Linked DNA regions of Schizosaccharomyces pombe. The gene in region 1 interacts genetically with each later gene. Each region holds a gene or a part of one and is shown in the gene's direction. Other genes may lie near its edges.

The links.
Region 2: mutations in sck2 (region 1) and kti12 together harm fitness more than expected from each alone (negative genetic interaction), as found in Schizosaccharomyces pombe (2 studies listed by BioGRID).
Region 3: mutations in sck2 (region 1) and mub1 together harm fitness more than expected from each alone (negative genetic interaction), as found in Schizosaccharomyces pombe (2 studies listed by BioGRID).
Region 4: mutations in sck2 (region 1) and fft3 together harm fitness less than expected from each alone (positive genetic interaction), as found in Schizosaccharomyces pombe (2 studies listed by BioGRID).

What each region holds. Positions count from the first base shown.
Region 1 is NC_003424.3:5,043,934-5,052,311, reverse strand, and holds sck2 (serine/threonine protein kinase S6K family Sck2), read left to right. Parts: upstream 1-3,299; 5' UTR 3,300-3,794; coding exon 3,795-5,735; 3' UTR 5,736-6,696; downstream 6,697-8,378. Other genes in the region: Golgi-specific 1-phosphatidylinositol 4-kinase, type III-beta Pik1, read left to right, coding at 53-76, 126-244, 294-335, 533-2,903; ribosome biogenesis protein rlp24, read left to right, coding at 7,640-7,644, 7,695-7,833, 8,081-8,378. UniProt on the Schizosaccharomyces pombe protein: Protein kinase that is part of growth control pathway which is at least partially redundant with the cAMP pathway.
Region 2 is NC_003424.3:4,390,968-4,396,841, reverse strand, and holds kti12 (elongator complex-associated protein Kti2), read left to right. Parts: upstream 1-2,884; 5' UTR 2,885-2,952; coding exon 2,953-3,124; exon of another isoform or gene 3,125-3,269; coding exon 3,270-3,943; 3' UTR 3,944-4,029; downstream 4,030-5,874. Other genes in the region: vacuolar phytochelatin and glutathione S-conjugate ABC family transmembrane transporter Abc4, read left to right, coding at 1-910; tsn1 (translin), read left to right, coding at 1,250-1,312, 1,351-1,426, 1,475-1,711, 1,750-1,832, 1,875-2,043, 2,101-2,135; Sec7 domain-containing protein sec72, read left to right, coding at 4,418-5,874. UniProt on the Schizosaccharomyces pombe protein: Elongator complex-associated factor that is not a structural subunit but rather transiently contacts the complex.
Region 3 is NC_003423.3:3,766,106-3,773,799, reverse strand, and holds mub1 (armadillo-type fold protein, zf-MYND type zinc finger protein, Mub1-Rad6-Ubr2 ubiquitin ligase complex Mub1), read left to right. Parts: upstream 1-3,815; 5' UTR 3,816-4,822; coding exon 4,823-6,547; 3' UTR 6,548-7,194; downstream 7,195-7,694. Other genes in the region: RNA-binding protein Tma20, read right to left, coding at 1-5, 122-219, 275-427, 482-492; protein Cwf4, read left to right, coding at 743-2,767; mediator complex subunit Med10, read left to right, coding at 7,519-7,694.
Region 4 is NC_003424.3:2,095,010-2,103,475, reverse strand, and holds fft3 (protein Fft3), read left to right. Parts: upstream 1-1,670; 5' UTR 1,671-2,426; coding exon 2,427-5,195; 3' UTR 5,196-5,281; downstream 5,282-8,466. Other genes in the region: protein Atg14, read right to left, coding at 1-694; SPOM_SPAC25A8.03C (uncharacterized protein), read left to right, coding at 5,691-7,094. UniProt on the Schizosaccharomyces pombe protein: DNA helicase that possesses intrinsic ATP-dependent nucleosome-remodeling activity and is required for heterochromatin organization.

The sequences.
Region 1 (8,378 bases):
CATCAACATCGACTTAATATATGACGATGTTTATGCAGCTTCAAGGTTAAACATGCCATCTTCGAATTCGGGAAATGTATGACTTTTGATCGTTGTGTTAGCTGCGTAATTAACGCTATTTCTAGGAGTTACTTTTAAGATTCTTTGAGTCTGCCCATTTCACGAGTCAACTTTGTGTTGCATATCTTTCACGCTATCCTAACAATATTGGCATTCATCACTTTCTTTGCGAAAAACTAGCAACGTATGTCTACCGTATCATTTCTTTGTTTTTTATGTCTAACACATATTAGATTTCCTTATGAAGAGATAGAATTTTTTATTCCTCAATTAATGTACGTTTATTTCGATAAATAAAGAAAAATTTTTGGGGGGAAGGAAAGTACCAAAAAGTCGAGCTCATAAGTCAGTGAAAGCCGAGTATATGACTCATATGCCTATTTCATAATTTAATGACTCTCTTACCTTTTGATTTTCTTTCCTTCAAACGTTTATTCCGTTGTGTTCGTGCATCTCTAATATCATACTGTAGTCATCTCGTCCTTAACAAAGATTCTGAAAGCGTTGCTTTAGAAGAATTTATCATTTCTCAATGTGAACAAAATACACAATGCGCACTCATTACATTTTGGTATTTGCAAGCCCATATGGTGGATCTAGGTTTACAGCCGCATTCTTCTTGTTTTAAAATATGTAAACGACTTTACAATCGTATTCAGATTTTGGTTTTCATGTCATCATCATCGTTAATACAGTCCCAACAAAAAATCTCCGAAAATGTAACCCCTGCCCTAATCCTTTCAGGCATCATGCTAGGTGGTGTTTGTGTGCCTGAACTACTAAAAAAAGCTGGCCCCATTGCAATTGCTCAAGGCCGTAAAGCCCCTAGGCAAGATCCAGATGAATCAGATGTTGATGTTTTACGCCGTCTTTCCACCGAACCTCGATATTCTCTGGACGTATTACGTTCGTCTTTGAACAACTCTATTGTCGAGCAACATTCCGAAGTATCCCTTAGACTAAAAGCTCCAGAACTAACCCGCACCCATTCATATCAATCATCAGCTACATTATCTATTGACGAACAGCGTCGTGTTCTACGCTCTAATTATTTTCAACAAGAAATTCAATTTCTTTTTGCTTTACAAGATATATCTATCCGTCTCATCATTGTACCTAGACAAGCTCGCCTTTCTTCATTACGCGCCGAACTTGCTCTTTTAAATAACAACCTTCCAGCCGATGTGAACATACCGCTTTTACGATCATATCATAAAGAAGTGAGTCATAAAATCGTTCGCATTGATCCTAAAGAGGCTACCATACTCAATTCTGCCGAACGAGTACCTTATCTTATTATGGTTGAGGTCCTATCTGGTGAACTCAGCTTCGAGCCACAATCGAAGAAAAATAAGGCTAAGGTGCAAAAGATTGTCTCTCATAAAAACCAAAGAAAAAGGTGGTTTGACCTCACAGATGTCGATCCTTATACGAACCTTCAAGACAGTACCGACAATGATATTTCAGAGTCGGAAAGTGAGGGAGGGGATTTAAGTATGTCTCCTCTGATAAAAGGGTTGGTACCGGACACTCTTTCTTTGAGTAAGTCATTCTCTTCGTTTGGTAATGTATCTTTGCAGGTACCGTCCTCTCATAGAGATACCGATGTCGTCCTGTTATCTGGGCGCCACTCTGATTCTGATGGAAATGGCGCCTTAAAAAGAAGTAAAATCTATGCTTCAGAAATAACAGCGAGAATGCGAGCTGCGGCAACTATGCTAAGTCAGCTTGATGCTGAAGGTAGCAGACGTCCCAAAGCTGAGACTGAACGAATAAAAAATAGCATTATTCTTGACATGCAAAGACTCGAAGAAGAGCGCCTTAATGAACCATCCATTTATCCTGTTTCAGTCGACATATCATGCGCAGAAGATCTGCGATTTGGCAAAGAAACTCAAAAGGCAGAACGGAAAGGTGATAGAGATGATCCCAGTGCCGCTACATTCCAAGAAGATTGGTATGCCAAGAAGGAAAGGATAAGAAAGTCTTCTCCTTATGGTCATTATCCCAATTGGGATTTGGTCAGTGTGATTGTTAAAACGGGTGCGGATCTCCGGCAAGAGACATTTGCCTGTCAACTTATATACGCGTTTCAGCGTGTTTGGCTAGAGTGTAAAGAAAAGGTTTGGGTTCGAAGGATGAAAATTTTAGTGACCGGCGACAATAGTGGCTTAATAGAAACGATTACAAATGCCATTAGTGTTCACTCTATTAAAAAGAATTTGACGAAACAGCTTCGGGAAGCTGAACTAGCCCAAGGAAAAATTGCTGGTAAAAATGTTGTTACATTGAAGGATTATTTTATAAAGCAGTTTGGTGATCCCAACAGCAGCCGGTATCGACAGGCACAGACAAATTTCCTTCAATCATTAGTGGCATATAGCATTATATCATACTTACTACAGTTAAAGGATAGACATAATGGTAACGTTCTTATTGATAGTGAAGGTCATATTATACATATTGATTTTGGCTTTTTACTTACGAATACACCGGGGAATGTTGGCTTTGAAAGCGCTCCATTTAAGCTTACGGCGGATTATTTAGAAATCCTTGACGACCGGTTTGATGAATATCGTTCCTTGATGAAAGCTGCGTTTAAATCTGTTCGAAAAAACGCTGATCAGATCATTTTGCTTGTTGAAGTTATGCAAAATAATTCCACAATGCCTTGCTTTCGTGCTGGTGAAAACACAAGTGCACAACTTTTGCAACGTTTTCAACTACAGCTTGGTGACAAAGAATGTGATGACTTTGTGGATTTGTTGATTCAAAAGGCAAATTGTAGTGTTTGGACGAGACTTTATGATCTGTTTCAAAATATTACGAACGGAATTTACTAGTAAGTGGCTATTCGTTTTCTCTTTTCATTTTTTTCGAATACAGCTACGGAGCTTCCACACTTGAACCATACTGCTGGTTGGCTTTTTTAACTTTCAATATTGTATTAAAATCACCACATTCACCATGGTTCGTAAATTTGGTAATTTTTTTGTTAGCTAGATTAGCTATATTAATGCATTAAAAATATTTTATGTGATCTATATGATTTATCATACCCACTAGAAACCCTTGCAATTATAATATACTATTAAAGCATACTGTCTAAATTAACTGCATTTCTAAGTTAGCAAACAATTTGGCGTAGTTAAATCCGGGTTAAAGAATCCTTTCGCACTTCCGTATATTGACATACCAAATTTTAAAGTAAGATTAGGTACTGCAACCCACTTCAATTTACCCTTTACCATCAAATTGAAAAATTAGGCGCAAACAGTAATTGTATATTAGAACTTGGAATTTTTTTCTTTTCATTTATAATTTTGTGTTATAATCCTTTGTTCCTTCTTCTACTAGGGGTTGTTTCTTTGCACAATATTGTAGTTGACATTGGTTAATGGGGTATCTTCATATTGATTACAGTATTCGTGATATAACAAAGAAATTTGGTAGGAAAATTTTAGTGTTGATTAATAGTTTTTCTTATCAGGATTATATCCAACTGAGGTGAATTATTACTTGAGACTTTACATCATTAAATTTTATGCAGGTATTAAGTCGTGATTATATCAGTCAAACAAGTACCTTTTGAATTCATTTTCATACCTCTTCTTGCTTGAAAGAAAGAAAATCCCTTTTTGCATCTACAAGCAATTAATCCAACAGTGACATTTTGTGTTCGTATTTTCTTTTACAATAATCGTACATAAATTGGTTTTTTGAGTGATTATAAAATGATGAATAAGTGGGCAAAAAATTGGTTCGGGCTGTCTAAAAAATCGGTTTCCACCAATTCTGCTAAAGGGTCACTTCCCCGAAGTCCTTTGGCAAGCATCCAAACCAATCAACCAGTTGAGGAAGGTGAAGGTGGTTCACTTCCTTCAGTTTCAAATTTAGGTCCTTCCTCGATAGACCATCCCATGGAAGAATTCGCCAGTGACCAGTCTACGGTTGGTAACAGAAATAGTAATGATATATTACCTGAAGTTGACCATGAACCTTCAGGCTATTTGAAACTTCAAATAGGTTCATTAGTTTTGGGAGGACCTCATACTGATGCAGCATTAGCCATGGAATGCTCAAGACTTAATCAGTTGTTTGTTGTTGTTCAATTTGGTACGACGGAGTTTGTTTCACCTCCATTGAAATGGGAATCACCTGGCCGTGATATAGGCACATCTAGTCGGGATTCTGCTAATGTGAGTAGGAGTTCATCTATGATGAGCTCTCATCCCATTCCTACTCCTGCAATTCAACGTACGTCTTCAATTCCAAATCCCTTAACTCCATCTTATGTTGTATTTGATGTTGCTAAACCGGTCCCCATCGATGTTAATATTTATGACCATGGTAATAATAATGAATTTGTTGGGAGAACTTACATTCACCCGTCTTATAATTATGGTCAATTTGAACAGTTTTGCAACAGCGTTGAAGTTTCTCCCGCATACAACCGTATGGTTGATCTTCGTCTTTCTCTCAATACTGTTTTCCAGCCTCTCAGTCAACACTCCTACGGCCCTGATGACTTCGTTCCGTTGAAATTAATTGGAAAAGGTACATTTGGTCAAGTCTATCTTGTTCGTAAAAAAGACACCGAGCGCGTATACGCAATGAAAGTACTTTCCAAAAAAGTAATAGTCCGTCGCAAAGAAGTTGCACACACTGTTGGGGAAAGAGACATTCTCGTCCAAACTTCTGCAGCTGATTCGCCCTTCATCGTTGCTTTACGTTTCTCTTTTCAGACCCCCAAAGATTTATATTTGGTGACAGATTATATGGCTGGAGGCGAATTATTTTGGCACCTTCAAAAATCGGTACGATTTCCAGAAGAAAGGGCAAAATTCTATATTGCCGAATTGTTGCTTGCTTTGCAAGCGTTGCATAAACGAGGAATTGTATATCGGGATTTGAAACCTGAAAACATTCTTTTGGACGTTCAAGGACATATTGCCTTATGTGATTTCGGTTTGTCAAAGGCCAATCTTTCAGTGGGGACTACTACACGTACGTTTTGCGGTACCACGGATTATCTAGCTCCTGAGGTTATTTTAGACGAAGCAGGGTATGATATGATGGTTGACTTCTGGTCTTTAGGGGTACTTTTGTACGAGATGACATGTGGCTGGAGCCCTTTCTACGCTGATAACACACAACAACTTTACAAGAATATCGTGTTTGGTAAAGTCCGTTTTCCTAGAGGGTTGCTATCTGTAGAAGCCAGAGATTTGATTAAGCTATTATTGAATCGTAATCCAAAGCATAGGCTTGGTGCACATGGGGATGTTGAAGAGGTAATGAAGCATCCATTTTTTGATGGAATTGATTGGAAGAAACTCGCTGCGAAAGAAATTAGTCCACCATTTAAACCAATAGTGGAAGGTGAAATAGATGTTTCTAATTTTGATGTCGAGTTTACAAATAAAGCAATCGATAGAGACTTTAGTAGCACAGATGAAATGTCGACCTCTGCACCTTTATCATCAACTGTCCAAAATGGGTTTAAGGGTTTTACCTATATTGACGCAAGTGCTATGGATGAAGCATTCGGATACCACAACTCAAATGATTCTGCTTCTAGTATTTCCAGTCAAGATGATTATTCTAAGGACAATTCCGATATGGACTTAAATCGTGCGAACGATGAGGTATTTATGGGACAAATAGATCCATAATACGTTTGGTCTCCACGAATGTATCACTGCATTGAGAATCTTATGCCCATATTTTTTCTAGGCTGGATCCCTGAACCCGAGAGTATCTTTTTGTACACGCTTTCAATCGTTGTACTATTTTCTTATTTACTAGTTGTCCAGCAAAATTTCAACATGTATTTTGAAGGACAGGTAAATAATGTTTTAATTTAATCAGCGCTTAATCATTGAAGCGTATCGTTTTAATTTTTTTTTATTTCCCTTCTAAGAATGATTTTTTAGGATTGTTATTAAGATGCCTGTTTATGTGGAAGCAGGTTCGGGTGAAGTTCATTTTTTTTCGGTGCATATTAAGGGAATACTTAATGATCAAAGGATCTATTATTTCTATATTTTAATCTACGTTCACCAGGCTTTTTTGGTGTAATGTTGGGCTTGTATGGCGTTGAATCAACTAATTTTGGAACAAATTGTGCTTAGTTTTTTTGGTTCCGAACTATGACTTAATTGTGTACAGTGGTAATTACACAATTCCAAAATTCGTTGAATTGGCTGACATTAGTAGTAAGGTATTTTGCTTTACTAAGTAATTGTCATCTTGCTTAAGGCTATTCTATCTCCAATTGTAATGTCTTCGATTTTGTTCCTCTCCTTATTTTTTTTTTATTTTTCTCTTTTGCTGGATAGACGTTTATTCAGTTAGGTTGAAGTTCAGTTTTACGAATGTATAATGGTGTATGTTAGAATCTAGTTAAAGACATATTCTTTTAAACGCAAAGGAATTTAAAAAAAAGAAAAGACAAAGTACAATAGCAGTATTATTGATGCCCTCCTTGAGGGTCGTTTTGTAATAGATCTTCAGATGAAGATGTATTTGGATACTGTCGTATACGATAATTTGTTTTAGATATAACGATAATGACATAAAAATTTTTTAACTATGGTTTTGGAAACCAGTTTATCGATTTTTATTTTACTTGTGATTCTCTTCATTCATTTGTCTTGTGGGTCTTTGCCACAAATATTCGATATAATGTTTATAAAAACTAAATATGTAAAAAAATAACCTGTACATTCATTTTATTAAAAAAAGTAATTATAATAAATATTCTTTAACTTATGGTACACATAATATTGTTATCATGTATGGTCTTGATGGAGAAAAGGTAAATAACTAAACTAAAAAATTTAAAACGAAGTAAAAAATATCGGTAAGTACGAAAAATAGATAAAATTTAATAAAAAAAGGAAAAAAAAAAAAACAATTACATTTTCTCAAAAATCACTTGAAAACTAAAGACTCTTCTTGTTTTGTAATACTAGACTTATTCAATTTGACTAAGTAAAACACACTTGTATAATAAATAGTATATTTTATTTGTAATGATAACAAGGTCTCGTGGCCCAATGGTTAAGGCGCTTGACTACGGATCAAGAGATTCCAGGTTCGACTCCTGGCGGGATCGTTTTTTCAAAAGCTCAAATATCGTGAATACTGTAAAATACCTTTTAAGATCGTGCGTCTATGTATCCTATTGCAATCCAGTAAACTGCATATGCATAGAGGGATTGTGTTTTTAAAAGCAATTAACCTCGGTAATATTATGTATTTATTTTTTTTGGCGTAGACACGCCTTTGATAAAGAAGCGATATGAGTTAACAAAAATTGAAGATAAAATTTATTATTAATAGGTTCCTAAGATTGCGTCCGAGACCATTCACTCGAAACTTCACCGAGATGGTATTTCATTAAATAACGCAACCTAACGATATATCATAAATTAGATAAGGCATATTTGGAATTCGCAAAACGCAGCTTAAGTAGAAGCTCGCATCTCAAATATGTGCGTTGTAGGGAGCGCGAATTTTTACCTGCTCTTAGCCAACTTGAACATACAAGGACGGGAAAGAATTTAGGGGGAATATGAGGTTTGTAGAGCTAAATGCCTTCAAAGTATTTATTACTAACGGAAATTTAGGGTACATACTTGCTATTTCTGCTCGGGTCCTGTTTACCCAGGACATGGAATAATGTTTGTTAGAAATGACTCCAAGGTCTTTCGTTTCTGTCGCAGCAAGTGCCATAAGAACTTCAAAATGAAGCGCAATCCTCGTAAGGTATGTTTTTTTTATAATAAAGGAATGCAAAAACGTTATACAGACTTGGTTGAGGAAGATGATTGATTTTGAAAGAGGAAAAATTTTTTTCTGTTGCCTTGTTTTGAAATGATACTTTTCTTCTTCAAATTCTACCTTAAATGGTGTACTTTTTCCTTTATATGCCCATGAACGAAGAAAGTTTTCTATTGTTTTTTTAAATGTTTTGCTTCCACCTATATGTATGTATACTAACTTCAATGTCTAGGTTGCTTGGACCAAAGCGTACCGTAAGGCACATGGAAAGGAAATGGTTTATGACACAGCTCTCGCAGTTACCGCAGCTCGTAGAAATGTTCCTGTTCGTTACGACCGTAATGTCATTGCAACTACTTTGAATGCCATGAAACGGGTTAGCCAAGTTCATGCCAAGAGAGAGCGTCTGTTTTACAAAAAGAGATTGGCTGGCAAACGTGCCCAAGAGCTTCAAGAAGCTCAAAAACTCATTGCTCAAAATGTTCCTCAATTTACCGAACCCGAAGGTGAGGTTGAAACTGCTGAGGTAC
Region 2 (5,874 bases), 650 kb from region 1:
TGTAAGGTCATGTAATTCGTTGCAAGCTGAGATGAACAGCTATGAACGAGTTTTAGAGTATAGCAAACTTCCGCAAGAACCAGCACCCACTATTGCAGGCCAGGTACCAGCTACATGGCCTAAGGAGGGAGATATTGTGTTTAATCATGTTAGTGTTAGCTATTCCGCAGCCGGTCCTACTATCCTTAAAGACGTGAATCTTCATATAAATCCGAGTGAAAAGGTTGCTGTGGTCGGTCGTACTGGTAGCGGAAAGAGTACTCTTGGCCTTACACTATTACGGTTTACACATCGTATTAGTGGTGAAATATATATTAACGGTCGTGAAACACAATCGGTAAACCTAAACGCTTTAAGGCAACGTATATCATTTATCCCTCAAGATCCAATCTTATTTTCAGGTACCGTACGCAGTAATTTAGATCCTTTCGACGAGCTTGAAGACAATTTTCTTAATGAAGCTCTCAAAACAAGTGGAGCCAGTTCAATGATTATGGCTCATACTGATGATCAAAAACCTATTCATATCACACTAGATACACATGTTGCTTCTGAAGGTTCTAATTTTTCACAAGGGCAAAAACAAGTCCTTGCATTAGCACGCGCAATAGTTAGACGTTCCAAAATTATTATTCTAGATGAGTGTACTGCCTCTGTGGATGATGCTATGGATCAGAAAATTCAAAAAACATTGCGTGAAGCATTTGGCGATGCAACTATGTTATGTATTGCCCATCGTTTGAAAACTATTGTTGATTATGACAAAGTCATGGTCTTGGATAAGGGTGTATTGGTAGAGTATGGTCCCCCAGCCGTACTTTATCATAATAATGGTCACTTTCGACGTATGTGCGATGGCAGTGGAATTACTTTTCTGCCTCCTGAAACTCGAGGTTCGAAATCAGCATGATTTTAATTTTAAATAATGTTGGCTGATGAAACTTATTTTGTAAGCTTAGATTAATTTAAAGGAAATTATTCAATTAGGTTAGATTCTTCTTCAGTTACATAATATATCATTTTACATATAAAAGATCTAAACAACCCAAGCGTTTCTTTAGCAGCTAGTAATAATTTTAGTTAATAACTTGCAAAATACCCGCTAAATTGATTATCTTTATTTTACGACTTAAGAAAAAGGTTGGTATAATCTGGCTGATAAATATCACAACGGTCGTGTTATTTGCATACTGAAAACATCATTCGAATATCAACACTACTCAACAGCATACATTACAGATTAAGTCGAATGAATAAATCAATATTTATTCAGCTACAAGATCAAATTGATAAAGAACATAGTATTCGGGAGGTACTAATCTTGGAAATTATGACAAACTAACATTACAGAAACTGACTGCAGAGGTCGATTTGTTAGACGAAAAGTTAAGAGTTTTGCAACTTCTCTTGGCAAACTGTGAACAAAGTAGAAATGAAAATTTACAAGAAAAAGAACATGGACTAACTTTGGAAGATTTAGAAAATCAGGAAGAAATTTTAGAAGCTCTTGAGATCATTAAAAGCAAAACCAGAGGATTAGCAGAATTGGCATCGAATTTTCCATACTATAAATATAACGGAGTCTGGGATCGATCAATTCAGAAAGTTGTTTATTTATATTTGCTAGCTTCCTGGACCGGTCGTTTAGATAAAAGTTTAAGACCCACGTACAGCCTTCTATCGCTTTCCGAAGTTGGTCAAATTTTGCAAGGTGCGTAAATTATTTTACATTTTTCTCACAATCTTCAGTCCCGGTTTTTCCAGAAGAGTCCACTTTTCATCTTTCAATTGAGCAATATTTGCACGCAGTACTATCTCTGTGTTCTGAACTGGTATATATTCTATTCAACAATCCAAATTGACACAATTTCTAGGCTCGTCAATCTGTAAACTCAGTAATATCTGGAAACTATCATATTCCATTTGAGGCCCTAAATACTATTCAAAAAGTTCATTCTTCTTTTCAAGTACTCTCTTTGAAAAACGACTCCTTAAGAAGACATTTCGATGGATTAAAATATGATTTGAAAAGATCTGAGGACGGTATGAAATTTACGTGGATTTTTTTTTTTTTTGATAGTTTATTTCTGACATATGCAGTTGTTTATGATCTTCGGATACATAAATTGGTTTAAATTGCTAACAATTTATTTGCCAGCTGTACGCTTGACTAAAATTGAGCCGATAAAATTGCTTTTTTAATATTAGGTCTGCTTATTTGCTATGAAACTGGCAGTCCTATGATGAATGCAATTATATTTCTCTTTCTTTAATTTTGTTACACTCTCTGGCAAACTGAATAGTTATTTAAAAAAAAAATATTTCAGCCTAGGTTTCTTTAAGTTCTGATTTTTCTTTACCCAATATTCAAGACGTTTTCCAGGGTACTAAATTAATCATTGGACTGGTATACAACATGTGTTATAAGTTAGTCGCATTTTACCAGATACATGTTAATGGCGGCATAAGTAGATACTTTTCTAACTTTTAATCAACTGCATTTAGCTTATATTTCTTGATGTCCTATGCACCTTTAAAATCTTTCAACAAATGATTACTATTTTTAAATTGAACAACCCTGATTGCGTAGAAGGCGTGCATGTTTTTTTAGCGATTAAAATCCGGGGTCTTACTAGTGTTAATCCTTAATTCTTTTAGAACAATTGATAAGGTAAAGGGAAGCAAGATTAAATTAAAGAGACCGCAAATTGAAATTACTGTGTTTTTAAGCCTAAGCAATACTTACTAGTCGTAAGTAATAAGTCAGTACCGAAATTGAGCGCATTACGAAATACAAATTAAGGATAAAAATTAACTGTTTACTAATGTTTAACGAACTAGTAATTTTCGTTAAATTCATGAAAAAATATATCAAAAAAAAGCTGGAAGTTTTCAAACATATGTTTTACGGCTGATTTTATTCAACCTTCTATTTTGTAGAACATAAAGAAAATGCCATTAATAATTGTTTCAGGTTATCCATCTTCAGGGAAAACAACGAGGTCAAATGAACTTAAAAAGGCTTTAGAAGATCGAATTCATCAAAATATCGACAATACAAAGGATTATCGGGTGATAATAATAAACGATGAGAGTTTAAACATTGAAAAAGAAACATATCGAGGTATGTTTAAATAGTTATCTTTAATGATTTAGTTTTTGGAAATTAGCCAATTCATTTTTGGCTTCAGATTGTGCCCAGCTACTCTAGATGATGGGAGAATCCGTATATGCAATTTTTCGTAATTCTGGTAACTAATTTGTCTTAGAGTCCAAGAACGAAAAGGCCGCTCGTGGCCTTCTCTATTCTGCTGTTCAGCGTGAACTTTCAAAATCTACATTCGTAATTTGCGATGCCTTGAATTACATAAAAGGATTTCGATACCAGTTATATTGTGAATCAAAGTCTATGTACACAACTCATTGTGTGATTCATGTTGCTGTTCCTCAAGATTTATGTCGAAAATTCAATAGTAACAAGGAACAGCCGTATCCTGACGATGTTCTTGAGCAATTAATGTTTCGTTATGAAGAACCGAATGGAATGACACGATGGGATTCCCCTTTATTTACTGTCTTGCACGATGATGCTTCTTGTCCTATCGATGACATCTGGTCAGTTCTTATTCATAACAAAAATGTCAAGCCTAACCAAGCTACAATGGTAAAACCTCCAGCTGAAGTCAACTATTTATATGAATTAGATAAAACTACTCAAGACGTAATCATGCTTATACTGGATAATTCCAACGATACCTCCTTGATTACTGTACCAGGGAGCAAACTTCAAATCGCATTACCCAGTGTTACAGTATCTCTTCCTTTACTTCAAAGATTGCGCCGTCAATTTATCCAAATTAACCGGCAACAATCATATAATACCAATGTTCTCAAGGAAATGTTTGTCGAATTTTTAAATGGTCAATTTGAAACCTTGGACTGATATCCTTTTCTTAAACTTTATGATATTTTTTTTTGGGATTTTTAAGGGGACGAAAAAATGTAGCCTAATATTAATACTTAACTTTGTTTGTTTCTTTTTTTTAGAACATGTTTAAAATGGTAGAAATCGTACATTTTGTTTAATTCCTTAATCCTTTTACAGTTTAAGGAATGCTGTCCTGTAAAAAAGAAATAAGAAAACGTTCACGGTCAATATCGACAATAAAAGTTTCAGTAAAACAACGAATATTGTATAAATCTAGTTATAATGTTTACTATTTAATCCATACTGTAATAAAACAATTTATTATAAGTCTCGCTCGTTTGCTTTATATAAGTAGCACATTGAACCGAGATCTAACGTTCGACACATTAAGGCCGAAAACACTTAGCAAAGACATACTCCGCCTTATATTTCATTGCTAAAAGTTGGCTCGTCTAGACGGCAATTGGCTTGAACGTGACCGATGCCAAAATGCAGGATGCCTCTGAACCTGTGATCAATATGCCTGCTCTGCCTATGAACTCCGTGAATGAGCAACATGACAGACACGAAGATCTTCCAGAAGTTGGAACAACATCAGTTACTAAAATTATTAATGATTCTGACAACGAAGATGATGAAAATGGTATGGATCTCGGTCGTGTTGCTTCTGAAAGTTTAGAAGGCGATGCTGTGGTAAGTATTGATATAAATACAGAAGATTCGTCGTTGTCGCCAGCGAAACAAGAAAACGAAAAGAGTCCCGAAGGAATCGAGCAGAAATATCAAGAAGAAGACTTGAAAGACGACAAAAAATCCAATGAAACTATCGCGACGCCTGTACCTGACGCTGCATCGAGGGCCAGTTTGGAAAAGCAAAAATCAGGTTTAACCAATTTGGAAAAATCCACTCATGTAGTGCTTATAAAGTGCATCGAGCAGCTTATACAAATAAAAGTTTGTATGAAGAACGAGAAGATGAAGAATTTAATGGAGCAACTAAAACCTCTTCTACAAACCGAATGTCAGTTTGACAAATTTTTGATAGTAGAGTTATTTCAGTACTGCTTTGAATCCAGTCAAGATGAAGTTATGAACATTTCTTTAGACACTATTTCTAAACTTGCTTCATTCGCCTATTTTTCTTCAAAAGATAAAACACCTGCCTCATTTGGGCCCCCTAAATCCCTTCTACAGTGTATGGTTGATATGGTATGCGATAGTATCAATGATGAAGTTGTTGATGGAAATCTGCAATTGAATGTTGTAAAAGCTTTATCTGCCTTTATCTTATGTTCTGAGCAGGATAGTATGCTTCATGGAGCGATATTATTGAATTCTGTTCGTAAACTCTTTAATGTCTTTCTTCTCGGGGATAGTGATACTATACAGTCAGTTGCTCAAGCTTCTTTGACTCAGGCTGTCACTGTAGTCTATGAACGATTACGCGCGAGCCACACTCAGTCGAACTCTACATCTGCTTTACCGGAAGAAGATGCATCGGTGACGGAAAATTGGGTTCACGATGAGGATGAGCCTGACAAGAAAATTACTCTTCATTCTATGGCATCTGCTGGCACTTCATCATTAGATCATGTTAAAGTTGACGCAGATGACCCAGCTGTCACCAGTGTTGAGAATTCCTCTATCCAAGACGCGTTTTTAGTGTTCCGATCCATGTGTCGACTTGCTGTCAGACAAACCTCGCCTGATAAAGTCAGTAATATCAGATCTCAAGCTATGCGCGCGAAATTAATTAGTCTCCATCTTATATATCGCATTTTAGAAAAAAATAGTGACTTATTCATGGATCCTACTCTCCAATTTCGTGGTATCCCAGCACTTAAAGGAATGACCCTTGTTCATGCCTCCCGTCAATATATTTGCCTAGTATTATCTCGCAATGCTGTAAGTCCTGTTCCCCAGGTGTTTGAAGTCTGTTGTGACAT
Region 3 (7,694 bases), on another chromosome or scaffold:
CGGACCTAGGCGTATTAGTATATATTTGAACTAAACACAGATATGTTGTTGTCGATTCTGACCAGCTAGACAAAAACCAGAACTCCAATCAAACGTTGCGGTTACGTTAGCTTATACTCACATTTATGAACAAGACGAAGAGAAGGAATGATAGGGCCGTCGAAGTGCTGGAAAAGGATAATTTCGCCATTCAAAGTATACAAAAATAAACGATCCTCACTTAAACAATATCAGTACGACATACTAAAAATCACGGATGCTGATAAGAACGAACCATTTTATTTGAGTTAGTTGTGATTTTTTGGGAATTAACTCATCGATAACTTGTTTTAAGTTAGGATAAGCTTGTACTAGTTTTGCTTTTATTCCTCTTTGAATAGAAGACTTGATTGGAGTAGTTCCCTTTATATCTTCTCTAGAGTTAAATCTGTTGAGGTTAGCAATCATCCTACAAAATTATAAATCCAATTTAGAGCAATACCGTTTGAACATATTATTGAGTATATAGGAGCTGCAGACCATTGCTACAATAAGTTACTAGGTTGTAGCCGCGGTCTCCTCTCGGATGATCCGCGGTGTTGCCGATTACCACCTCGAGGGTTACAAACGTTAGATATATTCATTCATATTTGTGCACGTTTTTGTCTTCTAACAGTAAAAGCCAACTGGTTAAGAGAAGACATAAATCTAGCATATTATTTATTGAGTAATTGTACACTATAGAGATCCAGAATAATATAAGATGACTTCGGAAGCGCCCAGGGTAAAAAATAAGAACCCAGCACCCATCCAAATCTCAGCTGAACAATTGCTCCGAGAAGCTGTAGAACGACAAGATGTGGCGTTTGTTCCTCCAAAAATTAATATCACTGATCTTGAGGAGCTTCAAGAATTTCAAGGTCGAAAACGTAAAGAATTTGAAGATGCCATTCGACGGAATCGTCTCGCTATGGGCCATTGGATGCGATATGGTCAGTGGGAATTAGACCAAAAAGAATTTGCGAGAGCTCGCTCTGTTTTTGAAAGAGCTTTGGATGTAGATTCTACTTATATACCGTTATGGCTGAAATATATTGAATGCGAAATGAAGAATCGAAATATCAACCATGCCAGAAATTTATTTGATCGTGCTGTTACACAGCTTCCCCGTGTTGATAAACTATGGTACAAATACGTATATATGGAGGAAATGTTAGGAAATATCACCGGTTGTAGACAAGTATTTGAAAGATGGCTTAAGTGGGAGCCTGATGAAAACTGTTGGATGAGTTATATTCGAATGGAGAGGAGGTACCATGAAAACGAACGGGCTCGTGGCATATATGAACGATTTGTCGTTGTGCATCCTGAAGTAACGAATTGGCTTCGTTGGGCTCGTTTTGAAGAAGAATGCGGAAATGCTGCAAACGTTCGCCAAGTCTATTTGGCTGCTATAGATGCTCTTGGTCAGGAGTTTCTGAATGAACGGTTTTTTATTGCTTTTGCAAAATTCGAAATTCGTCAAAAGGAATATGAACGAGCTCGCACCATTTTCAAATATGCAATTGATTTTATGCCCCGATCAAAATCTATGGAACTATATAAGGAATACACTCATTTTGAAAAACAATTTGGAGATCATTTGGGCGTTGAGTCTACTGTGCTCGATAAGCGTCGATTACAATACGAAAAGCTATTGAAGGATTCTCCTTATGACTATGACACTTGGCTTGATTTGCTGAAGCTCGAAGAAAGTGCAGGGGATATTAATACTATTCGCGAAACCTACGAAAAAGCTATTGCTAAGGTTCCTGAAGTAGTTGAAAAGAACGCATGGAGACGTTACGTTTATATTTGGTTAAACTATTGCTTATTTGAAGAGATAGATGTGAAGGACGTTGACCGCGCAAGAAAGGTTTACCAAGAAGCTCTCAAGCTTATACCCCATAAAAAATTTACATTTGCCAAATTATGGCTCATGTATGCAATGTTTGAGCTTAGGCAACGTAAGATTGATGTTGCTAGAAAAACGTTGGGTCGTGCGTTGGGAATGTGTCCAAAACCAAAATTATTCCGAGGTTATATTGAATTCGAAGACGCAATTAAGCAGTTTGACAGGTGTCGAATTCTTTATGAAAAATGGATTCTTTATGATCCCGAGGCTTGTGCTCCCTGGCTTGGTTACGCTGCCTTAGAGACTAAGCTTGGAGATAGTGATCGTGCTCGCGCTTTATATAATTTGGCTGTAAACCAGCCTATTTTGGAAACCCCAGAGCTTGTGTGGAAGGCTTATATTGATTTTGAATTCGAGGAAATGGAATACGGAAAAGCTAGAAGTATTTACCAGCAGTTACTACGGACTGCACCTCATGTTAAAGTTTGGATTAGTTTTGCAAACTTTGAAATTGCCCATCTGGAGGACGATGACGAAGAACCACCGAATGAAGAAGTGGCTTCTCCAACCGCTGTTGTGCGTGCGCGAAATGTTTTTGAAAATGCATTGGCCCATTTACGCCAGCAGGGTTTGAAGGAAGAGCGAGTTGTATTACTTGAAGCATGGAAACAATTTGAGGCAATGCATGGCACGGAAGATACACGTAAGCATGTCTCTTCACTAATGCCACAGGTTGTTAAGAAACGCCGTAGACTTGAAGACGGTTCATTCGAAGAATATTTGGACTATCTGTTTCCGGATACGGCGACTGATCAAGGAGATAAGATGCGCAAAATGCTCGAACTTTCGCGAAAATGGAAAGAGGAAATGGCTAAAAAGAAGCTGGAGGCCTAGATTACATATGACATTTATTGGCGCTATCAGTTTAATATTTAGTAATCGTGTAAAATATTAGTAATTAATTGTTTACGAGGCAATGGGTCATGTAAATGGACGTTGTTACGAAGTTGAGGATATTCAGCGCTTTGGACTGTTCGGATAATAATAAAATAACTGTTTTTGCATTTGAAAGGCCGGAATGGCGCGTAGAAATAAGACAAGCAATCCATATTAGTATTATTAACCTTGAGTTTCGATCTGAGTTTACTTACTAAGCAAGATAAGCGAAAAATTTATGGATATTATGTTGAGGGAATCACACTTGTAGAAATGAGAAAGTTGTAAACATGACAATTTTGAAGAATCCAACGCAATTCGTAAATAACACATTAAAATACAATAAAATGAAAAATCCAATCCAAAATATATTTAATATGTACATATTTATATTTATAAATTGATTGTTCTTTACCTTGCCCCATTGACATACGATCGAGTATCTACCAGTGCGACTAATTTTAGTTTTGTTACTCAAAGTGGCAGGACTCACAGGTAAAGAAGCGGCTGGTTTGGAGTTGTGCTGATCTGATGAACTTGTCAATCAAATGAGATTACAAAATCTGACATTGGTTATTTTCAGCACTGACAGCTTATTCGGACCGGTTTACCCAAATGTTCTGCTAAAGTGAATTTACAGAATACAAAAATCGGCTTATGCGACCAACGTATTAGGCAACATTTTGACTTAAAAGAAAAAATTCATACACAGATTCTGCTAAAAACTTAAAGACACAAAGATGTTCGTATGAATAAAAAATGACTGACTATAGTGAAAGAAATACCAACTGTTGCTAGTTAAAGTTGCAGCAAGTTTTTTGAGTTATTGTTGCCGAGATGTCGATCTCTTCAAAGGTAACATCCAGCATCAAAGATCGCCGAGAGTTCCCAACCATTATAGCCAGTAACAACCCAGCATACTTTGCGTTATGGTGCCTTAAAGGTACGTTCACTGACGATCGTTTTCAAACTCGGTTGACACTCGGGTGAAATGAAGTTGCCTTCTGTCAACTGCCACTTCCAAGAATCTGAATAAGAGAACGAGGATCCGGGAAATTTTCGTAAAAAGAATTCATTCAATTAAAATTAAGGGACTTGCAAAAACTATTTACTGTGGTTTTTAAGCTAAATCCTTGCGATTATAAGAAAACACTTATTCTTTGTTTATCAACAAGGCTGATTTAGCTTCACCACCGTTTTCCTTTTCCAAATCCTAACATTTTTCTTCGAACTTTACTTTTTTAATTGATGCAAATCATCTTGTGCTATTCTCTCTTCTCTTACTCTTGTCAGCTGTGATTTGATTTTCCACTAATCTTGTCTAAAAAGGTACTGAGCATATCCTTTATTTTTATTTTCAAGGTTATTGTGGTTTTCATCAAACTATTCTTATTCATTCTCTCTTTGTATCTTCGTTAATCTCGGGTTTTTTTTGTTTGCCACTTCTCTCTTTCTTTAGCCTCGTGATTTTAGCAGACCCCGGGTTACAACTTTTTCGTTGTTATACTTCCTATTGTTGAACTTACTTGATCTGTGTCGCTTCTCGGCTAAAAAAGTGCCCTTGCTCCTTACTTCCTTTTTCTTTTAGTATTTTTTTTGCTCCTTTATCAGTTCTTGACTTCAAGCTTGAGCTAACCGTAGTCCCTTTTACGTTTACTCGTTTTGAAGAATAATTGGTGTAGATTGCTTAAAAGGATTTCAAATTCGGCGGGACTTAAAATCTGCGAAAACAGTAATTTTTATTTTTTTTCGTTTTCGTGATTTTGGGGCACTACTTATTCTTCCTGCTATCGGCGTTTGTTCTTGGTTTTTCTCTTCGGTTATTGCGTTTACACACAGCAGTTTTGAAAATTATTGAGTAAAATTTTGGTATTCGAAAACTGCTTGTCTTTAACTAAAAAAAATATTATCACATCGTTCGTTTTACGCCAATCTTTGCGTTTGCCAGTAATTTATACTGCAGCAATTGTCTTTAAAAAACTTTATACGTGTTAAATATATTATTAAAGAAAGATGAGGGAATCGAACGTTAGCATCGTATGGAATAACAAAGCTTCTGTCACTATCAATACAGTCCTTTATGATCGACGTGCGCTTGACTGTGACTCCGAAATGTCATTAATGAATTCATTAAGCCATCTCGTTTATTTGACTTCGACTTCACCGAAAATTCGTGAGATCCTTACTATGGATGGTGGTTTGATGCGTTTAATGAATATTTTACGTGCCGGACGTGGACAAACATTTGCCCGAATGACAATATGGCAGCTAGCTCTTCAGTGTGTCGTAAATGTTGGGATACGTGGGTCTGAAGCTATTCGAATTCGTGTTGTGGAAGCTGGTATCGTTCCTATTGTTGTCACCCTTTTAGATGATTTTTTGTTTGCGCTTGAGTCCGTTGTTTCTCACCATTCTCGATTTCAATTTTCCCTTACACCTTCTACTACCCCTCCTCCATCATCCGCATCTGCTCCATTCCCCATTAATTCTAATATTAGCAATTCTCTTGATTCTGTGTCTCAACACAATTCATCTGCTGACTCTTTGTTCGTCAACGGTGATGTACCATCTCCATTTGGAGCTAGTACGGCAAGCTCTAGCTCTAGAAGAGTTTATTCGGTGGATTTACGGGATAGTGGAGATGTCCAACTTCCAAATCAATCTACGTTTCGACATTCCGTGAATCGTGATTTATTGGGATCAAGCTCTACCACTAGTCATGATCGATCCTCCGGCTCCATTTATTCAAATGATTCATTTCAAGATCCTCGTGTTCAAGCAAACTCTCCATTAACCATTCAAAGAATTTCATCAGCTGCACCCTCTACTCCTACTTCTACTGAAAATGTTAATTATAACATGACTACCCCTTCTTCTCCTTCATACTCTCGTCAAACAGGCCCTGCTAGTGAGACAATTAATGACGAGATAGACTCTCCAAATTTTTTCTTTCCAACTCCGCTTAATATTATGACTACTACTCAGGATTCATCACGGGATGTGCAATTGTCTTTAAATAATGTTCAATCACAGGCCTTGAATAATCGTCAGCGTCGTAATCAACTTTTACCTGGTGTTCCTTCTACATCTGCGTTATTAGATGGCCGCAGGCCCGAAAATGTAGTTGATTATCACGGGATTGCCTCATTCTTTGACAACTTTGATAAGAAGATTAATAAACTCCCTCGTGAAGAAGATATACTTTTTGGTTTGCAAATTCTTGCTTATACTAGTAAAAACTATTTCCATATGCGTCCTTACTTCGAGTCTTCTAAAGATGTTCCAAGTTTACGTATGTCGCCCTTACGTAGCGGCAGTAAAACGTGGAATATTTTTCAGTTAGTCGAGCAGTTCACCTTGAAATTCTACCCCCCACAAGTTCAATACTGGGCCAGAGCTATCATGAATAATTACTGTCGGAAAGATGAAAGTCATGGTGGTATACGTCGATGCGCCAATTTGTTATGTAACAAATGGGAAGAGCACAGTCGTCAATTTGCTAAATGCAGAAGATGCCGACGTACAAAATATTGCAGTAAAGAATGCCAGCATCAAGCATGGCCGGGACATAGTCGATGGTGTCGCGTAATTCATAAAGATGGCAGGAATTCCAAACGAGAGAGCTCAAAAATAAACTCAGTCACTGAAAGCGAATCAACAGCATCCCCGGCTGCATCTGTTATTCCTGTTGGAACAGAATCTGTAACTTCAAGCACTCAGAGTGATAGCAGATTGTAGTACTAATGACAGTTTAATGACAATTTCTATCCATTTCTTACTAGGTATGCTTACGCTTCAAATAGACTTACAGTTGGAGGTCACACATATTCTTTTAATCATTTTTCCGGCATTCAATACTACGTTTTGAATTCATTCCTTAATTCCCTTTGCCATCAATTATTATTTCATGTGCCGTGAAGAATATGAATTTCAGCTAACTCTTTACTCGCAATTAAGTTAATCGTTTAACCTTTTTTTATGCAATTAATTGCCGATACATTCAGATTTGTTCTTCTTATTATGGATATCGTGTGGTTTTAGCAGGGCAATAATCATGAAAGCTTTTGAAACCTACAGGGAGGTACGAAGGTGTGGAGGCCACTGTCCTAATTTATTAAAACTTCGAGTTTCTTTTCCGACTGTCCTTCTGTTGCTTATCGTTTTTTCTCGTAACTTAAATGCTTTTACTTAAAATAATAAACTTTTTTCTTTTCAACTTGTTTTTGTTTGACTTGGTTACTTATTAATAAATTAGTCAAAAATTATACATAGCTTTTTCGGAATAGTTAAACCTATGAACAGGGCTAAAGCAATACGATGTGATATTGCATGAAGGCTAAAGCTTTTTGTACTTGTATACCTGGAAGTCAAGAAATAGATCGTACTAATGATGCTTTCGCTAAATTGACTAAACGAAAGTATTATTTCAAGTTATCTTGTCTGTTGACGCTAATATTTATAGAACATTTAGGAGGAATCAATATTATAATGAATTCAGTATTTCTCTATTAGTAGAACAGACTTTGTAATTTGCTTATTACTATAAAATTAAACCAACTCACTTGCAAATAGTGAACTGGAAGAAGTACCGTAGTTTAAGCATAACCATTATACAGTTGAGACAGCAATAAATTGAAGGCTGCTGTATTCAGTGCACTTGTGCTGCATTAAATTGATCTTTAAACCTATTTTTATCTTTGGTTTTCGAAATGCTGCCCCAAGATGACATGACTGATGAAATGAAATCATTGGCAAGCCGTTTAGAAGACACCACTCAGGCTTTTTATGACTTGGCATTGATCGTTTATAACCTTGAAGATACTACTCCATCTGATGCCATTCCTGAAAGCCTTGATACTCTTATCAGAGATCTCAAATCTCTTCC
Region 4 (8,466 bases), 2.9 Mb from region 1:
AGGCATTTAACTCCATCACCTGAGAAAAAAAGTTGCTATAAAAATGTCCTGTTTCATTGTCACTATGAGATAAGTCGGATTTCGAATTGCCCATTGATAATTTTGAAAGTCTATACGCAAGAGATGAATCTATGGAGTCAGGGTTAAACTCTGATCCCATTTGAGCAGATTTTTGAGTGCAACCCTGAGTGTTAAGCACTAAATCCCTTTGCCAGTGAAGTTGATACATATCCAAAACCCTTGTTATCAGCTTCTTTTGATACTCATGCAATTTATTTTGAAGTAGCTCAGAACGGCGATAAGCTGTAAGGTATTCCTTAGAGAAATAGTCACTCGTTGAATGTGATAAGCCAGCTAACTTTTGACTCGCGATATTAATTGATTTTTTGCGATTAGACAAGTCATCTTCTATAAGCTGTTTGCGGGAATGCAAGTCACACGATAACGATTTCTTTTCGTTTAGAGAGGCAGCAAGGTTCTGTAGTCGATAAGTTAATTCCTCTTTTTGGGTAATCTTTCCTTTTAGAGAGAAACTTTCTGATTTCAATTTAGCAACCTTTTCAAGCTCTGACTCAATATCTCGAGAGAATTCATCACGTTTATGATAAAAATCATAAAGCTGCTTTTTTAAACAGCTTTCGCAAATAGAAGGACGTCTTGTTTCGCATAATTGGCATTTATTGACATGCAGCATACAAACACACCTTCAGTTTAGATCCAACAATGCCTTCAAGTGGTACGCAAATTTCAATTATAGCACAGCAATAAGAAAACTTAAAAACCCAGCAGGATATTAATTTCCTACTACGTTAACTGTCAACTTGTATACAATATAGGTGTTGTTAAAATAATGAAGCAAAAACAAAGAAGAAAAAGGGAAAAAAAATAAACAGCGCAGGTTTTTAAACAATTATTCTTAGAAACGAAGGGCCTCCTAACGGACAAATTCAAAAATATTAATTTAAAAGTGAAACTGCATTCCTGGCTGTTCTTGCAGAATTGAACAACCAATGCGATATTTTTGACAGAAAAAACGACAAATATTAAGAAAAAATTATATTATACGAATTCAATGCAATGAGTAGATGGACTTCTATTTCTTCAAATCCCCGAAGTAGCTACTTAGCAGTTGATGTTCGTATTGATTACTACAATCGTATGCAAATAGTTACTTTATAAAGCGTTTAAAAATATTTCCTTAAAGTAGCCTGTTACTCGACACTCAAATTTTTGCTAAATAACTTTGAGTGATGAGCAAGGTGTTTTACAAAACTATTTTATCTAAATAAATAGGTTAATAAAATATTAACTAAATAATATAATCCTAGAACCCAAACCATCCTCTTTTAACATTAGCTTTTGCAGTATCACCTAGAAAACATAACGTGGTACGCTGCCATAATATAACGAAACACTATTTGTTGTCATATTTCTTAAGGTTCAGTGACAAAAGATCTCTAGTATCTGCAGTTATGTTTAATGATTTTATTAAAACTATAAAAGAATAAAGACAATTTCGCCACGGTATCTTTTGCTAAATGTTTAGTAATATAAAGAGCAAGTTGCCATCATGATATAGCTTTACCATAAACTACGTTACAACGTTTAAGGCATTATTTAGCATCAGTATTTGGGACCACTACCACCATATCACGCCCCCGTGCCACATCAAGAACAAACTACCAGCATAGTGTGCTCTTGAATTATACCGAATAATTCCATAATACAAAAGAAGGTATTGGGTGACTGGAGTCTTTTTCTTTAACAATCCGATTCATTGAGTGTTATTATTTTAATTTTGGTAATTTTCTTTTTCTTTTTTTAAACAAAGATTGTTTTTGGATAGCCAAAGTATAAGTCGTTTTTGGTGATCTTTAATTGCGAGTATTTGTTTATTGCTAGAGCTTACCAAGTTTGCTTCATCTTAAACATCAGGAAAATTTTAAATTTATATTTTAAAATTTTTTTGTCTACTTTTCATTTACATTTTATTTTTCTTCATTAAATTCTGCATATCATCTCGAAACAACGCTTATGTATTAGAAGAAGGTGGTCTATCCTAATTAACTCATACACATCTCGTAACTAAAGGAATTGTTTCTTGTTTTAGAAATTGCAATAAGTTTTGGCCCTCAAAATTTTTTGTAATCTGCTGTTCCCATATTAAGTTTTCAACTATTTGAGTTACCAAGAAACGCGTGAAACAAGAAATCTGTATTGTTTTGTCGTTATTTCTTCCATTTTAATTAATCTTAGGAGAATTTAAAAAGTTTCAATCTTTTTGCATCTATTCTCGGCGCTCTTAATTCGTGTGATAAAATTATTCATAATATACACGTGACCTTACATATTTTTTCTCCAAATCCTATATTTTAGATTCAATTTTCTTTTGCCATTTGCTTGGATACATTGATTGTTACTTAATTATGGATGGAAAAAGAAAAATAGAGCATACCGCTGATGGCACGCATTACGACGCGACTTCCAACGTGAAGCGCAAGCCAATTTTCCCCCCTTTCATTGCTGATTCGCTTTCAGAAGCTACCGAAAAAGCTAATGTTATGGGGGGTGGTATGAATTCGCGACTTCAGATTCTTTCAGAGATGTCTAAACGAGTTCAGGCTACTGCACCCATTTCAAGTTTAGAACATTTCAAGCAGTTGAGTGATATTTCTCCCTCATTTACTTCCTCTGCTAACTCCATAAATCAACCATATAATTATTCCGGTTCGTTAGAAAATCTTGTTCCTACACCTTCTGCTGGCACTCCTTCGCAATTTATGGATGCCCAAAATCCATACGGCGCTGTTTACAATGCTTTATCTCAATTCTCTGAGACAGAGCCCAAAATGCCCTCTTACATGGATGACGAAGAAGCAAGCGATTCTTTACCTCTTTCATTATCGTCTCAATCACTGAGTTCACAGGTTACAAATCAAAAGCCAGCCCCACATCGTCTTACAATGAGAGAACGATATGCTGCTAATAATCTTACTAACGGACTTCAATTTACCTTGCCATTGTCATCTCGAAAGACTTATGAGCCTGAAGCTGACGATGACAGCAATGATGATATGTACTCTGATGATGATTCAAATGCAGATCGCTGGGCATCTCGTATAGATACTGCTGCTCTAAAGGAGGAAGTTCTTAAATATATGAATCGTTGTTCAACACAGGATTTGGCTGACATGACAGGTTGTACGCTTGCTGAAGCTGAATTTATGGTTGCCAAAAGACCTTTTCCAGATCTTGAATCTGCTTTGGTCGTTAAGCAACCTCGTCCGGTGATTCCCAAAGGTAGACGAGGTAGACGTGAAAAAACTCCTCTTGGACCACGTTTAGTTGGTATATGTATGGAAATTATGCGTGGTTATTTCGTAGTGGATGCGCTTATTCGTCAGTGTGAGCAGCTAGGTGGTAAAATTCAGCGCGGCATTGAAGCGTGGGGCTTGTCAAACACTGCTACATCTGATGAAGGTGAAACTTCTCTTGTCAACTTTGATCAAATGAAAAGTTTCGGTACGCCTGCAAATTCCTCGTTTATCACTACACCTCCTGCATCTTTTTCGCCCGATATCAAACTACAGGATTATCAGATCATTGGGATTAATTGGCTTTACCTTTTGTACGAGCTCAAACTGGCTGGTATCCTGGCTGATGAAATGGGGCTCGGTAAAACTTGTCAAACCATCGCTTTTTTCTCATTACTCATGGATAAAAATATTAACGGGCCACATTTGGTAATTGCACCTGCTTCAACGATGGAGAATTGGTTACGTGAATTTGCCAAGTTCTGTCCCAAGCTAAAAATTGAACTTTATTATGGATCGCAAGTCGAACGTGAAGAAATTCGTGAACGTATCAACTCTAATAAAGATTCTTATAACGTTATGTTAACCACCTACCGTTTAGCCGCTACTAGTAAGGCTGATCGTTTGTTTTTGCGCAACCAAAAGTTCAATGTTTGTGTATATGACGAAGGTCATTACTTGAAAAACCGTGCGTCTGAGAGATATCGTCATTTGATGAGTATTCCTGCCGACTTTCGAGTTTTGCTAACTGGTACACCGCTACAGAATAATCTTAAAGAATTAATTTCGCTTTTAGCGTTCATTCTTCCTCATGTATTTGATTATGGTTTGAAAAGTTTAGATGTCATTTTTACTATGAAAAAATCCCCAGAAAGCGACTTTGAACGAGCATTGCTTTCAGAACAGCGAGTATCGAGAGCCAAAATGATGATGGCCCCATTTGTCCTTCGCCGTAAAAAGAGCCAGGTGTTAGATGCTTTGCCGAAGAAAACGCGTATTATAGAATTTTGCGAATTTTCCGAAGAGGAACGTCGCCGTTATGATGACTTCGCTAGCAAACAAAGTGTAAATTCTTTATTGGATGAAAATGTCATGAAAACTAATTTAGATACGAATGCAAATCTTGCAAAGAAGAAAAGCACAGCTGGTTTTGTGCTTGTACAGCTTCGTAAGCTTGCGGATCACCCTATGTTGTTTCGAATTCATTATAAAGATGATATCCTTCGACAAATGGCGAAAGCTATTATGAATGAACCCCAATACAAAAAGGCAAACGAACTTTATATATTTGAAGACATGCAGTACATGTCAGATATTGAGCTACATAATTTGTGTTGCAAATTTCCGTCTATCAATTCATTCCAACTTAAAGATGAACCTTGGATGGACGCCACAAAGGTCAGAAAACTTAAAAAACTGCTCACTAATGCTGTTGAAAATGGCGACAGAGTTGTATTATTTAGTCAGTTTACACAGGTTTTGGACATTCTTCAACTTGTCATGAAATCATTAAATCTAAAGTTTTTAAGATTTGATGGTTCTACACAAGTCGATTTCCGCCAGGATCTCATCGATCAATTTTATGCTGATGAAAGCATTAATGTATTTCTTCTTTCTACCAAAGCCGGCGGTTTTGGTATCAATCTTGCGTGTGCTAATATGGTTATTCTTTATGATGTCTCTTTCAATCCATTCGATGACCTTCAGGCGGAAGATAGAGCACATAGAGTTGGCCAAAAGAAAGAAGTTACAGTTTATAAATTTGTTGTCAAGGATACCATCGAAGAGCACATTCAACGTTTAGCCAACGCTAAAATTGCTTTGGATGCGACTCTTTCCGGCAATGCCGAAACTGTGGAGGCTGAAGATGACGATGATTAGTTTATACAGGGTTTTTTATGCATTAGTTTTAAAATAGTCAAATTGATTAGGTTTCTACTTTATTCGAGTAAACCTTTCTCTTTATTTTCAATTGTATTATCTGTATTTGTGTTTTGCACGTTATAAGTCGATCCCGTTTCACTAAATCAGATTAAAAGATTTGATTTGTAAAAGTAAATTCTATTTATTGAATGATACAAATTCAGTACTTCTTCAACCTAATATGAAAGCTTTTAGCTTCTTGACACCATTTATATACCACGCCAAAAACGCGTCGTGAAAATGGTCAGTCTTTTTTGAAGATAATACAGCAAATAAGCGATTCTTATTATCCAAAGTCGTTCTAAAACTTGCAAAACAAAAGTTGACAGAGGAAAGCACTTCACCTAGTAAGTTTATGAAATCATATTATTACATTTTATTTCTCAACTTCGAATAATAGTAATCGAATAAATAATGAATTTTGTTCAATTTTAATACTACAAAGAGTGTTAAATGCTGAATCTTTATATGTGGAAGCTAAGTCGCTCTCAAGTTTATCAAGCTTCATTATTATTTGGAAGCAGAGTAATTAGTGCTCTTGCATTTACAAATACCGGTCTAGTTTTGCATGGCCCAAGAAGATGGTATACTACTGATAATGGATTTTTGTTGCACCGCGATTCTAAGGTTTCGTTAGCCGATTATATTCATGAATCTACGTTTGATCCCAGCAAGGGTTACTATTCTCGACTTTGGACAGGCTCAACCAATAATTTGAGCCATTCTGTACATGTATTAAGGAAAGAAGGGCATAAATGTTCCAAAGAATTTGATCCTTTTTTGCATGGAATACCTATTCCTCAAAAGGCATTAAACATCTATGAAAAGCAAAGGTCTCTATTCTCTGAGTCCATTAGTAACTACTTGGTGTTGCAGTATAAACTTCGATATTTCCCGGTGTTTGATTTGAAAATATATGATTTTCATTCTGGGACTGGAATAATAGCATTGGATATTCTTGATTATCTTTATAAAAATCACCTTGAAGTTTATGGACGTACTACATACAATATAGTCTTGCATAATTCTTGGCAAGCAAGCTGGTTTAAGAGCATGTTGACATCTGTGAGATATGCAAAGCATGGAGATCATATTGATATATATGTTAGTGATCCATTAACGTGGAACCATACTGATACAAATCCTTGCTTTGTATTGGCATTACAGGTAATTAGCTCCTTCGGTCATGATTTATTTCGTCAGAGTAACGGCGCCATGATGATGGAACGGTGCTGGCTTGGTCCAGAGCACTTTTTAAACGAATTCTTCACTCTAAATACTCACCAAAAAGTTAGCTCTTTGAATTACCATTTAGCATTTCAACAAGCTAGGATTAATGTTCAGCAAGGGTTTAGCGACAGCAGGGCTAAACGGTACTTTTCCGGTGTTAAACAAGTATTTTGGTCCTTTTTTAGCACGCAAAAACTCACATACTATCCTACGAAAGCCATTAGATTTTTTGAACGATTGTCAAAACAGTTTCCGCACCACAGTCTGCTTTTGATGGACGTGTGTCACGTTGACAAATCCTTGCCTGGAATCAATGCACCGTCTGTTTTAAGTATGGAAAATGATTTTTCTACAAAAAAAATGTCTTCTAACATTGGGCACGTGTTTCAAAATGAGACCGTCAAATATGTGTTTCCCACACCTTTATATCTAGTTTCAGATATACTTCAGCTTGCTACTCATAATCGGTCCTTCATTTGTTCACTTCCCCATTTCTTAAGGCGATGGTCTAATGAACATGGTAGAAAGTTTTTCGTTCCTGTAGAACCGTCATCTAAAAACCTAAAAGTTCCTTATTCCTTCAACAATTACTACGTTGTCTCGTCTATGCCAACTTATTATTACTAAATGGCAAGTACTATTTTTCTTATTCTTTGTTCAACTTGAGAGGTGCACTAAGCGGGCTAGTGAATTGACTTTAGTTATTTATTTATTTATTTTTTGAAAATTGGTTATAAATAAAATAGCTTTAAATTGGAAAGAATATCATATTCAGTTAGGGTTGAAAAGGTTAAATAATGAAATTGCCAGTGTCAACTCGAAAGAGAATGCGAGCTTTAAACTGCATAAATAATTAAATATCGGAAATTTATACAATCTTCAAACGCAAGCCGTATTCAGTTTTGTATTGAACATCGATTGAATTGCTATAATCTTCCTATTAAAGATTTTGCAATAAACATTAATAATCCATTGAAATTTTTTTTTTTTTTTTTAAGAATCGAATTTTATTGTATTAAGACGTGATCCTAAACGCATTGTATAATATCATTGTGTTTTATTTTCCTGGGGTTTTTTTTTATTGCTTATTTAATTAATTAATTATTTATTTAATTAGTTAATTTATTTGCTTAGTTTATTACAACTCGTTCATCTTTTTATTTGGTTTTTTACTTTTAATTATTATTTCTTTTTTAATCATTCTTGAGAAATCGCTCTGTTTTGATTATGCGATTTATTTGCTATTGTCTTTTAGCACCTACAAATTTCTCAAGAATATTATCCTGTATGATGTTTTACATATGAATATATGAAATTGATTGATTTAAAATTGATACTATGATGAGAAAGGGAAGAGGTTTAACACTTCATTCTATAACCGTTTTCTTTTGTTTTCAGTGCTGACCAATTCCTTGCATACACAAAAACTTTCCAAGGATGATGATGGACTGGCTGACCATCAATGCATTTTGCACTTAAAATAGCGTACGTTTTATCGATTTACCGATGTTTTCCATTGGGTTGTGTTAAATTAGAGGTGACCGTAACCATGTTATTTTCCCAGTACTAAGTTAGTAGGAAAGCTATAGAGAAACCCAAAGTCCCCCACTTAGGCCAACAGTGGCGCAGCTACATCGATAAAGCAAAGATGAAAATAGCGATACAAAAGGTCAACACCAAAAACTCATCAAGCGAGCCAAAGTATGTAACCTCAGTTTACAGAAAATGGGACAGGTAATAACAAATGCCAACACCTGTGGAATGAAAGTATTTCAAGCACAAAATCGGTTTGTTTGATCTAAAGTGAGCATGAATGAGAGAGAAAGAAATAAAATAATAATAGAATCATTGTTTGAATAGGATTAGTCAGAAATGGTTCAATTTTCACAATCCTAGGATGAACCAAAGGTAGTTTACGTAATCTTGGTAATCAACCGCTGGTCCCAAAAAAACAGGAAATAAAAAAAAACACATCGGAGGCTTTCAAAAAATCTATATA